Macaca fascicularis: one gene and its partners. The protein of the gene in region 3 binds, or shares a complex with, the protein of the main gene of each other region. Links are inferred from orthologs where the notes say so. Each region holds a gene or a part of one and is shown on either strand. Other genes may lie near its edges.

The links. The genes of interacting proteins can lie anywhere in the genome.
Region 1: TAF1A (region 3) and UBTF share a complex: the UniProt entries of both Homo sapiens proteins name them as parts of the pol I pre-initiation complex. The link is inferred for Macaca fascicularis from reciprocal best matches to the Homo sapiens genes TAF1A and UBTF.
Region 2: TAF1A (region 3) and TAF1D share a complex: the UniProt entries of both Homo sapiens proteins name them as parts of the transcription factor SL1/TIF-IB complex. The link is inferred for Macaca fascicularis from reciprocal best matches to the Homo sapiens genes TAF1A and TAF1D.
Region 4: TAF1A (region 3) and POLR1C share a complex: the UniProt entries of both Homo sapiens proteins name them as parts of the pol I pre-initiation complex. The link is inferred for Macaca fascicularis from reciprocal best matches to the Homo sapiens genes TAF1A and POLR1C.

The regions. Positions count from the first base shown.
Region 1 is NC_088390.1:65,276,758-65,280,886, forward strand, and holds the start of UBTF (nucleolar transcription factor 1), read right to left. Parts: upstream 2,805-4,129; 5' UTR 2,378-2,804; intron 2,026-2,377; exon of another isoform or gene 1,911-2,025; intron 1,090-1,910; exon of another isoform or gene 1,032-1,089; intron 667-1,031; exon of another isoform or gene 336-666; intron 273-335; exon of another isoform or gene 132-272; intron 1-131. UniProt on the Homo sapiens protein: Recognizes the ribosomal RNA gene promoter and activates transcription mediated by RNA polymerase I (Pol I) through cooperative interactions with the transcription factor SL1/TIF-IB complex.
Region 2 is NC_088388.1:92,775,362-92,779,570, forward strand, and holds the start of TAF1D (TATA box-binding protein-associated factor RNA polymerase I subunit D), read right to left. Parts: upstream 2,805-4,209; 5' UTR 2,594-2,804; intron 1,866-2,593; exon of another isoform or gene 1,790-1,865; intron 639-1,789; 5' UTR 613-638; coding exon 545-612; intron 1-544. UniProt on the Homo sapiens protein: Component of the transcription factor SL1/TIF-IB complex, which is involved in the assembly of the PIC (preinitiation complex) during RNA polymerase I-dependent transcription.
Region 3 is NC_088375.1:80,567,659-80,571,168, reverse strand, and holds part of TAF1A (TATA box-binding protein-associated factor RNA polymerase I subunit A), read left to right. Parts: coding exon 1-47; intron 48-2,185; coding exon 2,186-2,384; intron 2,385-3,510. UniProt on the Homo sapiens protein: Component of the transcription factor SL1/TIF-IB complex, which is involved in the assembly of the PIC (pre-initiation complex) during RNA polymerase I-dependent transcription.
Region 4 is NC_088378.1:128,003,808-128,007,981, forward strand, and holds the start of POLR1C (DNA-directed RNA polymerases I and III subunit RPAC1), read right to left. Parts: upstream 2,805-4,174; 5' UTR 2,784-2,804; coding exon 2,715-2,783; intron 2,588-2,714; coding exon 2,516-2,587; intron 557-2,515; coding exon 449-556; intron 191-448; coding exon 58-190; intron 1-57. Other genes in the region: protein YIPF3, read left to right, coding at 3,089-3,169, 3,805-4,011. UniProt on the Homo sapiens protein: DNA-dependent RNA polymerase catalyzes the transcription of DNA into RNA using the four ribonucleoside triphosphates as substrates.

The DNA of each region.
Region 1 (4,129 bases), on a different chromosome or scaffold from region 3:
GCCCCCGGGGACCGGATCCGGATTCCCGCCGCTCCCCCCTCCCGGGCTCCCTTCGCCGTCCCCGCCCGCACAGGCGGGCGAGCAGCCGGAGAGAAGCGGCCTAGCCTGCCCCCCGCCCCCGAGCCACCCACCCCGGCCAGAGGCGCCGCCACCACCCAGCCACCCCGACGCGCACGGAGGAGCCCGGCACAGAGGCGCGACCGCGGCGGGAACCGCCGCCTCCTCCCCCGAGCCTGCGGCCCAGCCCCGCCGGCGCCCCCGCCCCGGCCTCCGGGGAGCCGAGCCAAGGAGAGGGCGGGAGGACGGCGGCCGGGAGGCGGGGGCGCAGCGCTCACCGGCCCCGCCGCCCCCTCCGGCGGCCGGGGAGAACTGCGCCTGCCGGATCCGAGAAGCGCGGGCTCCTCCGCCAGCGGCCGTGGCTCGGCTCAGGCCTCGCTTCCTGCCTTCCCCTCCCCCGGCTCTCGGCGTCCTCCCAAGTGCCCTGGTCTGCTCGCGCCCGGTCCCCTGCTCGGTGGTCGCTCCGGGTCCCTGCTGGGCGCCCACCGCAACCCGCGGTTCGCTCCCTGCTGTCCGGCCCCGAACCCAGCGCGCGTCCTCAGCCGCCTCGGTTACCCGGCGCAGCGCGGCCTCCGGGCTTCCCGCTCCGGCGGCTCCCTCCCCGGCTCTGAGTGGCGGCGCCCTCCCCCGCTCGGCCGGGCACAGCCGCAGCTCCCTCCCGCGGCGGCAGCGGCTCCTCCTCCGGGCGAGGCGGCGGCGCTGGGGCGGCGGCTGCTGCTGCTGTGGCGGCGGCGGCGGCGGCTGTGGCTGCTGCCTGCTGCTCCTCGCGGCGAAAAGCACAAAGCACAGCGCCCTCCGCCTGCAGGCAGCCCGCCCGCCGCCGGCCCCGGCCTCAGCTCGCACACCCCCCGCCGCCGCCGCAGCCTCAGCCGCCGGAGCGGGGAGGAGGAGGGAGAAGGGAGGAGGAGGAGCGGGAGGGGGGGCGGGAGAAGCGGGGCAGCGAGCGCGTCCTTCCCCGTAGAGCGCACACCGACCCCCGGGGAGCGAGCGCCAGCCCGCCCGCCTCGCCGGCTCCGCTCCCTCCCACAGCCTGCCCGGGCGGGCTCCGCGGGGGGCAGCTGGGAGGAGGGGCGGGAGCTGGGGGGACCCGGGCGGCCGAGGCGGAGGGAAGGAAGGAGGGGAGGGGGGTGGTGGTGGTGCTGGTGGCGGCGGCGGCTGCTGCTGCTGCTGCTGCCGCCGCCGCCGCCGCCGCCGGGGAAGGGGGGGGCCGGGGCAGGGAGACACGCAGCCGCCCGGATGGCGGCGGGGCTCGGAGCCGGGGCGGGCGGGCGGGCGGGCGCCGAGAGCGACCTCGCCAGACCCGCGGGGGAACTAGCAGGCTTTGCCGGCGCGGGAGGGAGGGCCGAGGCGCGGCCGCGGAGAGGGTGCCCGGAGGGGCCCCCGGCGGCCAGGAAGGCTTGGGGGGCGCCCACAGCCCTGCTCCGGAGCTCTCCCCCAAGTCCTCCCAGCTCAGACTGGGGCTTCCAGGCCAGCTCTCTCCCGCCTCCCGGAGCGAGCGGTCCGCGCCCACCCTCATCCCCCGGAGCGTGGCCACTGGTTTGGGGCGCACGCACGCCGATCGCGGCGTCCAGCTTCGGCGCCTACCTCGCGATCCTCTCATTGCCGAACGGTACATAGGAAACTTTAAAAAAACCCAAAACCGAAAATCTCTGCATTAAAAAAAAATCCCCGTTGCTCTTTACACCCCGGAAACGGCGAGGGAACGACGGGCTCCGGCGGAGGGGCCGCTGTGGGAGCCGGTTCAATCCAGCCCGGCATGGCTCCCAGGCCTGCCCGGGCGCATGGAGATCGGTGCCGCCGCCACTCGTAGCAACCCCTCTCCCCCGAAATCCGCGGCGCCCGGGCTCACTTACCGAGCGTGTGGATGGGAGCGCAGGCCGGGGGCACCTGGGAGCACGGCGGGCGGAACAGCCGAGCCGCAGCTCCGCTGCAGCCGACGCCGGGGCAGCGAGTCGCCAGACAAAGCCCGAGATGGCGAAGCGGAGCGACGGCTAATGGCGAGCCCCACGCGCCGCGCTCCGCCCGCCCCGCTCCGCCCGCCCGCCCGCCCGCCTCGGCGCAGCGCAGCGCCGCTCCGAGCGCTTGCCCGTCAGAGCCGCCTCGGCGCCGCCGCCTCCCGGGCCACCCCGGCCTCGCCTGGCCCCTCCGCCTCCTCCGGGCGGCTCAGCCTCACCCCTTCCCTCCCACTGCTTTAGGGGTTGCACAAAAAAAAAATTTTTTTTTAAGTAAAATGGTTTTCTTCCTTTTTTTTCTTTTTTCCTTTTTTGCAGGGCGGGCGTGTTGAGACTTTTGGATCTTTCTGCCCGCAGCTCGCACTCACCTGCGGAGCCGCCGGGAGGGCTAGGGGTGGGGGCGCGCGGGGCTGGAGCCGGCGAGCGCGGGTTGAAAGCCAGCCAAGCTCTGCAGCGCCCGACCCGGGCGTGTACGCCGCCGCCAGTCCCCGCAGAGAAATCGTCCTCCTACCCCCGCCTCCATCGCTCTGCGTTTCTCTTCCAATCAGCCGGTCGCTTGGTGGCTCCTCCATTCTCCGGCCAAGCCCAGCTGCCTAGAGCGAGCTCCACTCCTCCATCTGTTCGCCGGGGTCCTCGCTCCCCTGCCGGGGCTGGCGAGGCGGCGTGAGGCCGGAGGGGGATTTGCAAGGAAACCTGCCTGCTTCCCGCTCCCATTGCTCCATCCCCGCTGCCTCCTGCCTCCTGCTTCTCTCCTGCGTCTTTCCAACTCTCCCCTGTCGCCACTGGTGTGTGTCTGAGTGTGTGCGCGGTTTTTTTTTTTTTTATTGCTCTTTGCTTTTGCAACCCTGAAGCAAAAGGGAGGGGGGGTAGTTACAGGGGAAAAAAAAAAAAAGCGAGAAAGAAGCTCTTAGATTTGCAACACATCGGAAAACCGAGGGAGCACCCCGCCTTATCCGATCTCCATGCTCCGCGAGGGCCTTCCGGGTTTTAAAAGGACGAGCTTATCAATGTCCCCCTCTTCGCTGGGTTTAGGATCCGAGGAGTCCGAGCAAAAAGTTCTCCCCCTGGGTCGTAGTGAGGGGTGTCAGGGTGGGAGTTGCGGGGATTTTTCAAGAAGAAGCGGCTATCCTTCCTACCCCGGCGTCGGTCACTGGGCGGGGGTAGGGGAAAGAGCAAAATCCCAGTGGGTTTGCGCGAGGGATCTTCTGGGGTCGAGGCGGCGGGGGGAGTCGGAACCGGGAGACACCACTTGGCGCATCTCCCCCTCGGTCTATACCTCCTGTCTTTTGCCAGCTCCCCCTTTAATTTTTTTTCTCTCCTTTAATCTAATTTCTTCCAACTCCACCTTTGTTGTTACCGGCGTCACGCCCGGACCAGCCAATCCCCGCCACGCAATCAGCTTGTCAAAAAGCCTCGGCCGGCCCTGGGAAAGCAGGCCGCAGGCGCTGCCCCCCGGCGGCGGCGGGCAGCCGCGAGGGGAGCCCAGCACCCGGTTCTCGCTGCTCCGGGCGGCAGCGGAGCAGCCTCCGACGAGACGTCTCCCGGTTCACTAAACTGCAGGCCGGGGATGAAAGGCCTGGACGGGGTCCACCACCCACCCTCCCACTACCATGGCTGTGGTTGTCTGTCTTTGCCTCCCCTTTTCAGAGGAAAGGTTATCAGGACAGGACGCAGGGAGCCAGAAGACCATCTGAAGGAAGCCTGCTTCCAGCAGGCCCAGCCTCCAGCCACCGCTTCTGGGGCAGCGCCATTGCTCCTGGCTCTCAGGCTGCCAGTCTCCCACACCGAGGCTCTACTTCCCGCATCTCGGCCAGCTGGATCACCCAGCCCCTTTCGACTCTCCCCTGGCATGCAGCCTTCTCCTCCACTCGGCCTGCCTCTTTGCTGCTGTAATTCCTCTTGTCTCCTGGGAGAAATGAGATTGTTTTCCCAGGACTTCCAGATCCCACTTCTGTCACGTTTCACAAACAGGGAGGAAGCCCTGTCAAGATCTGGTGTGTCCTGTTTTTGTTTGTTTGTTTGTTTGTTTTTGGGGGCACTGGCATATAGGAGAGGCGGATTTACCACTCGTAGATTAATTTCAGCTTCTAGGCCCCTAACTTTGAGGACCTGCCCAAGAC
Region 2 (4,209 bases), on a different chromosome or scaffold from region 3:
ACAGTGGTGCAATCACAGCTCACTGCAACCTCAAACTCCTGGAACTCCAGGGATGCTCCTGACTCAGCCTCCCAAGTAGCTAGCTAGGACTAATGGCATGCACCACTGTGCTCAGCTTAGCAAAAAACTATGTATCTTTTAAGATAACGTATGGCTCCACAAAGGCTGTATGGTGTATGAGCTCCACAAAGGCTGTATGGTTTGGTTCACTGCTAAGAGTGAGTAAAACAAACACAGCCTACCAGACAGAAACAGGAAGAGGTAGTCTGGAAGAGATGCTAATATGACCCAAAGAATACATTTTTTTCTTGAAGAATGTGTCCCATTATAATATATTCACATTTTGAATTTAAAGTATTTGCAATGCTATTATCAATCTACATTAACTAGATAAACCTGGAAGGTCAGTGAAATCTGGTTTTCCTTCTTTCCCAATTCCTGAAAATCATCTTTACTGTCACTCATTATATAAAATAATTTCTCATAATTCAGATACAATAAATATGATTGAATCCACTCAGTTCTCCAGTAAAAACCCACTTACCTTTGATTTGCAAGTTCCATAGCATCAGATGTCACATGGTCGGTAGAATCTATTCCTGATTTATCCATCAATTGCTTTGTTTTATAACAGTTTTCTGAAATTATGAAATTTAGTAAATGTGACAAAGCTTCCCTAAATATTGACACAGTATCTACTATAATATTCAACATGGTCAGACTATGCCACTGATTTTAGGCAAAATCATTTGCCGGGGTTAACCTTCTTATCCATTTCAGATCAATTTCTTTAAAAAGAAATCCAGAAATTCTATTCACAGGTTCTTTCAGTTTTTACCCTCTAAATGTATTCAATGGAACAAGATTCCAAAAAAGTACTGTCACTTCCAAAAAAAGCATCTTTCAATATAAGTAGAAAATACAGTTTTATCATTAGCCACTTACTAACGTGCAATTACCAATACAGTATTAATGTAAAATTAAAAACCATTTTCCAAGATCAAAGAGGGAATTCCTAAGGCAAAATGTGCCCTATATAAACCAGGAAAAGGATCTCCAATCAACAGACCCTGATCACCTCTCCATTATAATTCCTAGATTCTTCATTCCTAGATTCATTTAAGTAACTGAACTTTGTCATACTGTATCTTTGCCATTATTGGTGGAAACTGACAAGTTCTGAATTCTCAACCTTTTTCAATAAACTATCATAATTCTTTGTGTTTTCATCCCCATGGTAGAGTATACAACATGCCAAAAAAAGAAGAAAAAAAAGATTCCTTCTTGTGAGCTAAAAGAAAAAACAGGTTGGTCTGGGTGGCTCAGGCCTGTGTAACACAGCACTTTGGGAGGTCGAGGCGGGCGGATCGCTCGAGCCCAGGAGCTCAAGACCAACCTGGGCAACGTGGTGAAACTCCGTCTCTACAAAAAATACAAAAATTAGCCGGGCTAGTGGCGCGCGCCTGTGGTCAGGAGGCTGAGGTAGGTGAATACCTGAGCCTGGGAGGTGGAAGTTGTATGTAGTGAGCCTCAGCACACAAGGAGACCCTTGTCTCTACAAAAAATTCTTAAGATACTGGCTAGGTGTGGTGACCCGTGCCTGTGCTCCCAGCCACTCGGGAGGATCGCTTGAGCAGAGGTGGAGGTTGCAGTGAGCCGAGATTGCACCACTGCACCCCAGCCTGGACGACAGAACAAGACCCTGTCTCAGAAAAAAAAAAAAAAAAAAAAAAAAATAGGCATGGCAACAAAAATGAAGGATAACTACTTATTTCACTATTGTACTTGCCTTAGTCAATCTCTTGTCTCATTCTGTAGCTTCTTGGGACCTAACATGAGTCATTGCATATAAATCCTAGGATGAACTAGCAAAACATTTAAAATATAAAACGATAAGGTTACCAAGAGCTCAGATTTGTTAAATGCCCAATGGACCCCTGTGGTAATTTTCTGGTAGTACGTCTTATTAGCTTAAGTACAGGATTCTACGAAGTCATTATATATCGAATGCTCAAAAACGGAATTCAACAAAAATTTGGCCCCATGCATTAATGGTATACCTGTGGTTAATTTTTTTTTAAAGTAGGGATTATCAAAATAAAGCTAGCTCAAGAATCACTTTTTTCTTAGTGTTTAGAAGACACTCCTACTTGGGTGTCGATGCATCCGCTGGAATTCTGCAATTCTTAGAGGCCACGTGGGCAGAAAGCGGCGCTTTACCCGGAGCTAATTCTGTGACCACCAGCGCGTCTCTCCGGGCAGCGCCTAACCTCCAGGAAACCGGCGCTATCAATGGGTACCTCACATATGAAGGTTAAATCATTTAAATTACGTTAAGAAGGTTAAACTTGTCTGCAACACGTTTTAACACCTCCATCTCAAGATATAATGAAGCCCGCCCACACTACAACCACGTTTGTGGGCCTCATACCAGCCGCGTGGCGCGGAGTGGCCTGCAACCGTGATCCCTTCACCCTCTCGGCCCGACTTCCGAGGCTCAATCCTCCGGAACAACGCAGGGGCCGAAACCCCAGATATGCAATGCCTCCCCTGCCCAACAAGCCCAGACGGCCTTGCCCTCTTGGCAACCTACCTAAAACCGCCTCACACCGGCCCCAACCGCGCACTTGCTGCCCGTAACCCAGGCCTCGGGCCAAAACCTGCGACTGGCCTGGTGCGTGAGTCCTGGAGATTTGCACACACCACCCTCCCGATTTCAGTCCTCCAACTCCGGAAAACTAGCCGATGTCCTCCAACCGCGCGGAAGAAAAGGGTGGGATATCCCCGCGGCCCAAGTAATAGTCAGGCAGAAATCTCGCGATACAATTTAGCTCCCGGGAAGAAGGCGAGCGGTGGGAGGAGTCGCGACGCGGGGGCGCCATTTTTCTCGCCGCGCAGGGAGGAGCGACTAACGTGGGCGGAGCTGTAGCTCGCTTACTCTGAGGAGGCGGGGTTGGCGTAGGCGGAGATCGGGATTCTGGTGTTTTGCTTGCGTGACCGATTCGGTAAGTGGAATAGCCAAGAACATTTCGGCAAATAACAAAAAGAAAATGTGCGGCCAATTGTGAGTGGATGAGAACTGCGAGGAAACAGCCTCTCAGCCCGGGTCGTTTCCGGTGGTCTCGCGTTTGCTGAGCTGTCTCCCGGCTTTCTAAACCTGGTCCCGAGTATGTGGTGAGGGTGACGGGTGGGATGTGTGAATGAGTGTTTTGTCATCCTGTGTCTACTTTTGCCTTCAAAACCCTTGTGTGTGAAAATATTCGGGAAGGTTACTCGAAGTTTGTAACCTTTGTGCTGGACGCCAGTGTTATGCCGTAGCACGCCCAGGTCTCCTCCCCACCTTTGCACCTGTTTCGGGAGCTCACCCTTTCTGCCTCCCAGGAATTGGCTAACACGTCACAAGTGAGACCTGTGGAGGATTTCTTTTTCCTCAGTTTCCTCCTACATCCCCCCCGCCCCCCACCATTAGTTCCTTGACCAGTTCCTGAGTTAAGATTAAGCTGTGTAAACTAGTTTAGTTTTGGTGGGGTTTTTTTCTTCGAAAGTTTTTTGTTTTTTTTTTTTGTTTTTCGGTTTTTTGGGGTTTTTTTGAGACCGAGTTTCGCTCTTGTTGCCCAGGCTGGAGTGCAATGGCGCGATCTTGGCTCACCGCAAGCTCCGCTTCCCGGGTTCAAGCGATTCTCCTGCCTCAGCCTCCCAAGTAGCTGAGATTACAGGCATGTGCCACCATGCCCTGCTAATTTTTTTGTACTTTTAGGAGACACGGGGTTTCTCCATGTTGGTCAGGCTGGTCTCGAACTCCTGACCTCAGGTGATCCACCCGCCTCGGCCTCCCAAAGTGCTGGGATTACAGGCGTGAGCCACCGGCCTCCCAAAGAAATTTTTAAAAGGATTGAACTGGTTTGATTTTTCTGGTTTCAAACTTCTGTTTTCATATGATACACCGCAAAAACCAGTAAAGCTGTCTAATCTTATTTTATAGTTTACATCATTTTAGGATAGCGCGTGCCTTAAAAGTAATCTGGTCTCTTTACCCTCCTTTGCTCCATAGATTGGACAATTTCGGGGATAAAAAGTCTGACACTGCATTTGATCCACAGGGGCTGGGCAGTGACTAAGCTCCAGGACTGGTATGGCATGTCCCTCACTGCCATATTCAGCAGCAAGCCTAGCTCTGTAATTTGTGAGGCTCAATGCAAAATGTAAATG
Region 3 (3,510 bases):
CTTTTGCTGACCGGATGAAAAATATTGGCGTCATGAATTATTTAAAGGTGAGAATATGGGCTTTGTGAATTTACCCTTGCGGTATTCTTTTTTTCTTTCTTTCTTTCTTTTTTTTTTTTTTTAATTGCTTGTGTCAGTGATAAGGTAGTTAACCTAAAAAATGTGGGACAAGGATAAGGCATCTGGATAAATAAGAGAAACTGAAAGAAAAGAGTATTATGAGAACCATTTACTTCTTGATTTTCAGTCACCTCCCGTGTTCTCTGACTGAAAATTCCTTTTTTTGTGTATTTCTTCTGGCTGCCAAAATCAGTTATTCAGAGATTGCAGTGGTATGATGATGGGTCAAATTCTGAAATGTTTGCTGAAGTCATTTGAGCTTAGAGTTGGTGTTTAGAAAAAGGAAAGAGCTAAACAAGTTGGGAATTTAAATACGTGAAAATATTTTAGTACTCCTAATGTTTAGGTGGAATCTTGACCTCCAAATTCATATATTCTTTTGTAAAAGTCTTACTGAAAAAGATTGAGATATTTTCAAAATACTGTATCTCCCTCTCTCTGTTTTTGTCTCAAAGGGCACTTTTTCAATACAAGTTTGTAAATGCTTTGCTTTAAAAAAATGTTTTGAGTGTCTACTTTATGTGCCAGGTGCTCTTATGGTTTTGTTCTCTGGTAGACCAGATATACTGTGAGTGGAAATTAAATGGAGGCAGTTTACAGTTCTACTTAAGAAAAGCTTTCTAACTAAACAATTGGAAATGGGAATGGCCTACCCTGATGTGTGCTGTGCATCTGTTTTTTCAGGTCTAAACTGGATAGCCATTTGATTGTGGGGAGAGTGTGAAGTTTAAACTGTTGGTTAGGTCCCTTTTGGCTCCTAGAATCTCCTCAGTTGAAGTAAAGAAACTGAAAGGGAACCTCATTTCTCAATAAGAGTCTGAGAGTGATAATTAGGATAGATAAGAAAACTTTTTTTGTTGTTAATAATTTTAAAAACACTTATTGCCGCTTACCAGGTATTGTTCTAGACATGGTTCTCAATAGTAGAGGAAGATCATGTAAATGGCATTAAGTGTTATGGCTACCATAGTAGAAATGTAACATATAGTGAGAAGATAAAGGAGAAAATGGCCAGTTCTCTGGAACTAGAGAGGGTTAGGATTTAATGGGTAGGGGAATCAGGAAAAGAATGAAAGTGATACTTGAGATAAGTTTGAAAAAGCTGTTGGTTGTTCACTAGGCAGATTAGGGGAAAGCAGCCCTGTGTGGCAGGGGTTATAAAGAGTTCAGAAGCCCTACATCCAATAGTTTAGTTACTCTAAAAATCATTTGGGTAGAAGTCGGAGGAAGTAGGCTGGGCGCTGTGTGCTGCACCCTAGGAACTTGGATTTTAATTCTGTAGTCAGTGGGAGCCATTGAAGGAGTTTATGCAAATAACTAACAAGATGAGATTTCTTTGGTAGCCACTTGAAAGATGAATTGTAGGGAGGCAGGAATGGAGAGGCCAGTTGACAAATTATTGCAGTACTTTGGCTCTACCCATATGATTAATTGTAGTTCTAATTATTCTCCTCTTTAATGTCTTCCCTTCTTGTAATACTCATTCTTTGTATAATTATTCTTCCTGCTTCTCCTGTATCAGGGATACACTTTCCTTCCCATCTGAGCTGAAGTCATTCTTCAACATTCCTTATTAACATATTTTCTCTAAGCTTATATAGCATGTATAAAATAGTAATATTTATTGAATGTCTGCTATGAGCCAAACTATTAGGTGGTTTGCAAGTATTATCTCATTTAATCTTGAAAACACCCTTCTGAAGGGGCAATAATGTTCCCGTAAAACAAATGAGACTCACGAAGGGTGAATAATTTACCCAGGTTTATTTAGTTTTTAAGTGGTGTATTAACCAAGACACTCCATCTTCAAAGCCTCTTTTTTCCTCAGTATATCACACTGTCTTTTGTTTGTAAGTTTACATAATTTAGCTCATATTTGCATAGTGTTAATTGTTTCCTATGTCTTACTTCTTTGCCAGATTGTCCCCAACATCAAAATTTTCAATGTCAGGTTATTTGTATTCTACCAAGGTCTTAGCCCAGCATGTATTATATATTTACTGAGCTTTTTGACTAATGGTTATCAAATGGCTTAAATGGCAGTGTGCCCTTATTATTTTTGCAGATCTCCTTACAACATGCATTATACCTTCTGCATCATGGAATGCTTAAAGATGCTAAGAGAAATCTGAGTGAGGCAGAGACATGGAGACATGGTGAAAACACATCTTCCCGGGGAATATTAATCAACCTTATTCAGGCCTATAAAGGGCTTTTACAGTATTACACCTGGTCTAAAAAGAAGATGGAATTGTCAAAGCTTGGTAAGTAAATACAGGTAAACTTTTTCTTGTGATGAGACTGAGGGGCAGAGGGATCTTAAGGAGTAATCTAGTAATTTCCCTATTGACTTCATCCAGATATTACGGTGAACAGACTTTTTATGGATTTAAAATTCTTGATCCTTTATAATACTTCTGATATATAAAAGGCTTCAGTCACAAATTAGATGGTTCATAATTAAGTTCATGATTATTTTAGGTTCGTTGCTGTTTTGAATGTGGTTTAGACAAGGATAAACACAGCCAGACATTAGAGCAGTGAAGACAGGTTTGATTCAGTAACTACTGACAGGAGGAAGAGCTAAGCTCCATTCCAGTTTCTGTGGAGGTGACTTGGGGTTGTAAGGGGTGGGGGTGGGGAGGCTAAAAAGCAGAAGGCAGAACCACCAGTAAATTTTTCTGGAGTTTTCCCAGGCATGCATTTCAAGAGGGGCTGGCTGGGGTAATCCTGGGGATATGGCCTTGAGCTGTTAGAAACTATGTTACTGTCTGTTCAAGTTTTTATTGGCCAAGTTTGAGGCCTAGTTCAGAAGAGAGCTTAGAGGAGCCTGGCTGGAGTTTGGTCAAGAAGAAAGTCTTTGCCAATTTCTAAGAAAGGCTATAGGTTTTCTTTAGCAGTCATTATTACATATAATAAACATTTCTTCCTGTGTGCCTAGAATGGAGTTTAATTTATTTTGTAATATTATTATGTTATTTCTCAGAATAATATGTTTAAAGAATACGTCAAAATGGTCATTTCAGTTTTGTATAAAGGTTATAATGGACAATTTCTTGATTTATTGACTATACCAGAAGTTGACCATTCAGTTCTCAAACTGATTTCCCTTCTCTTAACCTTCAGTGCTGTTATCATCTTCATTTATGCCCAGATTTGCATTCATTGGAGCTGTGTGATTCTTTGCAAATTGCTTCCTTGTATAGTTTCTCCATAGTCTCTCTAGGATTAACCCCTTCTGTTTTCATTCTCCTCCATATCTTAGTCCTAAGTAAGTAAGACTGCTTAGTCCTAAATACTAGGACTAAGTAAGCAGTATTTCCTTATGTGATAAGTGGTATCTCCTTGGTCTCTGGGCAGGTAGTTTCACTAACTTCGACTCCCTTTCCT
Region 4 (4,174 bases), on a different chromosome or scaffold from region 3:
AGTCAACCAGGATTTGAACCCAGACAGTCCACTTCTCCCAAAATTTCATTTTCTTACCTTGATTCCGATACTCAAAAAGACGGGGATCAGCATGAATGGGAATGAGCCCCAGACGGTGAGCAAGGATCTCATCCTGAACAATGGATGTATTATTGTACACCAGGACCTTCTCCACAGCCATAGTTGGCACCTGCCCAAGGAAAAATAACCACTTATCTGCAAAAACCCAACAGACCCCCTACCTATCCCCACAACCCCACCCTCCAGAGGTAAGGAGCTATCTCTCTTCCTAGAATGTTTAATGAGAAATTTACAAAGAATGAGAAGGTAAAATGCTCAGCAAAATTCCAGGAAAAATGAGGGAAGGACAGCTTGAGACAATTCTCCAAGTGAGGTGTCAGTGCAGTTCCCAAAGCAACTCCAGCCTTGTCACCATGCCTGCCAATACCTCAGCTAACAGAATTCGTCGAAAAGCATTGGCAATGGCTGCGTCAATTCCCACCATGTCGAACTCCAGTGAGTTTTCATCCATGTGTACTACATCCACACGGAAATTCTAGAGGGACAGGAAAAACATTTAAGTGAAACCTGCTCTCTCTGTAATATCTCTTCATACCTCCCCCTTAGATAATTCCCTCAAGTATTATCCTCTCATCCAAAAACCTCCCTTTGCCCAGATGTCCCTTATTAAATATTCTTTCTCGCCCAGTGCTTTAGTTTCATAAAAAGTCTCCATTTTTGTCGTCCATTCATTAAAACCCTATGCAATATGGCTTCCAACCAAACCATCCACAGAAGCTATTCCACTAAAGAACAGAAACTACCATAGTGCTTAGTCCTGTTGACACTACCCAGTCCTCTTACTAGACTTCTGTTATGCTTGACATTGATTAAAAAACCTCCTCTGGGCCCAGCACGGTGACTCACACCTGTAATCCCAGCACTATGGGAGGCCGAGGGGCGGATCACAAGGTCAGGAGTTTGAGACCAGCCTGGCCAGCATGGTGAAACCCCGTCTCTACTAAAAATTCAAAAAATTAGCTGGGCATGGTGGCGCGTAGCTGTAGTCCCAGCTACTCGGGAGGCTGAGGCAGGAGAACTGCCTGAACCCAGGAGGCGGAGGTTGCAGTGAGCCAAGATTGCACCACTGCACTCCAGCCTGGGAGATAAGAGTGTCTCATGAAAAGGAAAAAAAAAAAAAAAATCCCCTTTTTTGAACGATTCCCCTGGTTTCTGAGCTCCACTCTTCTTCCATCTCTGATGATCAACTTCCACCCATCTCTAAATTTGCCAGGTTCTTGTCTCTCTCCCAGGTCACCTTAACTGTACTAACAGTTTTAGCAACTATCTGTTCTGACAACTCCCAAAATTTTATCTCACTTCTGATCTCATTTCAAGCATGCAGTCTTCTAGCCTGCTAGATTTCCCCACATACAGAAAACAATGCATCATCATCCCTGTTCCCCAGACCCATTTCTCCTCTTAGTAAATGATACCACAAAGCAAAAAGCAGTTCCCAAGCCAGAAAAAGTCATTTTATGCTACCCCCACAGCCTTTATCCAAGCAATCATAAATTTACCTTATATTCTTCCTTTGCTCTATTTCTACCATCAGTCTTAGTTCATATCTTCAACCTCAGCTTCCCTTACGACAGATCTGCCTGCTCCATATGATCCTCCTCAAACTCATTCCCTCCCAGCCATCAAGGTTGCAAATCTGATCATGTCTGCTTAAGAAACTATTCAAGCTCCCTATCATCCACAGTGTGACACACTTCAATCTTGCCGACCACTCATGCCAGAACTACTTGGACATTCCCGGAGCACATGTCACAGAAGTCATAATTTTTTTTCAAGCATTAGCCTTTTTCATTGTTCATACTTTATTCCTTGTATCAACAGGTTAAAAAAGTAAAATTTTCCCAGGCACTGATTTACACATCATGTTTATAAGCTGCATAAAGGGTAACATTTAGGTCAGTTGCATAAAGGGTAACATTCAGTAATCTATTTAAATGCAATTTTAACCCTTATTTTAAGCTAAGTGAAACAATAATACAAAAGACTAAATACACACAAAACCTGCATATCCTGAACTTCACTGACGTGAAACTCAAATCTTTCATAATTCAACTCCTGTTTTTTTTTTTACTTACCATTCAAGGTTCAATTCAGGTGTCCCCTCCTCTTGAAATGTTAAGTACCTCTCGGCCCCTCTTCCTGGTCTCAGCGGAATGCTCCCCACCCCAACCCTGCCGTCTTCATCGCTATCAACCACCTTCACCATATTACACTAGATGCACTTGTTTATACGCACCATTCCTCAACAAGACGGAATATCTCTGCAGAGATAGAAACCGTGTCTAATTTGGCCTGTAAACGGAGCGTCTAGCACATTGCTCAACAAACACAAACGGAGCGACCCCCAAAAGCAGCTGCTGAGACAGACACAGGCTGCTCAGGCCACAGGGTCTGGCCTTCATAACCCTCCCCAGACAACTTCGGCCCCACTTACCTTCTCGAAGCGGTCCTGGTCCCAGGCATCATCATAACCGGAATAGTTTCCGGGAAAGTCAGTGGTATGGACCTAGAGCAAAGGGACGAGTTTGTCCACAAAGGGACAATGAGCCCACGGCTATCCCCACGCCAATCCCAAGACCCACCCCTGTTCCGCTCTCATTCCTCCCGCCCGAGCTCAAGGCCACAAGGCTTACATTGCGAACCCCAAACTCCCCTAGAACCACGCGGCCCCGCATCTCCTCCACCGCCTGAGAAGCCGCCATCTTCAATCTCTCCACGAGACTGGAGGCTCTATCTGGCGCGTGCGTCCTAGTAGACTGGCTCCGTCTCCGTGGCAACGCGCCACCGCCTGGAATCTTAAATATCGCGAGACTTTTCCCCGCTTCCGTCCACGTCCCCAGCCTCCGGAAGTTGGTTTTGTCCAAACATCCGGGCTTCTCTTTTTTGTGTTCCGGCCGATCCCACCTCTCCTCGACCCGGGACGTCTCCCTCACTAAGGCCCACGTCTCGCCCACTCCTCCGCGCGCGGGGCTAGCGCGGGCTTCAGCGACGGGAGCCTTCAAGGGACATGGCAACTACAGCGGCGCCGGCGGGCGGCGCCCGAAATGGAGCTGGCCCGGAATGGGGAGGGTTCGAAGAAAACATCCAGGTAATGGCCCCAAGGCACTAGCTGCCAGCAACCCGAGGGCCAGCGATGTCCAGAAGTGTCTTGAGGATTCTCCCTGTGGGCCTGGAAGTCCGCTCCATTTGCAAAACTCTCTTCTTTGGGTCTTCGTGCACACTAAAGTCAGTAGGATTAACATTGACCTGAAAGGGCCAGACTAGTACTCCAGCCTGAGGGTCTCGGGTCTCTGGGCCCGCTCGAGGCATTAGGAAGAAGGTATTCTTGGAACAAGTTAGGAAGTTGGTCGGGGTCAGGCATGGAGTGGGGTTGGGTGGGGATTCACTGGCATTCGCTGAAAACATATTATGTGTATAGTTTTGTTTGGGGCTTAGGAAAGAAGGAAATGGGCACTTTTTCAGCCTTTTAGTCTTTGGTAGGTAAGGTAGGAAAAAGACAGGAATGGAAGACTAGTAGTATGTTTCCCAGGCTAGAAAATTCAGCCAAAGCTAGAAACCAAGAGTTCTGAGAGCATATGAGGGGGAATGGAGTGGCATGATCTGTAGTGATTCCGAGCCGTATCCTCAGCAGTGGAAGAACAAAGCCCTAAACCCTGGGATGAGCAGAGGACTTAATGGATGGAACAGAAAAGTCCTGCACTCTAGGAGCCATTGTCTTCACAGGGCGGAGGCTCAGCTGTGATTGACATGGAGAACATGGATGATACCTCAGGCTCTAGCTTCGAGGATATGGGTGAGCTGCATCAGCGCCTGCGCGAGGAAGAAGTAGACGCTGATGCAGCTGATGCAGCTGCTGCTGAAGAAGAGGATGGAGAGTTCCTGGGCATGAAAGGCTTTAAGGGACAGCTGAGCCGGCAGGTGGCAGATCAGGTAAGCATGATTGAATCTTCTGCAGGTGGAAAGGTATACCTAGGTATGTCCCATGTTCTGGAGTTGGTGTTGGTGATGTTTGCCCCAGGTTGTCCAGTTAGAACCATGTAGAAATCAAGCGGAAAATAGGCAACAGGGTCTAGAACCAACAGTCCCACAATAC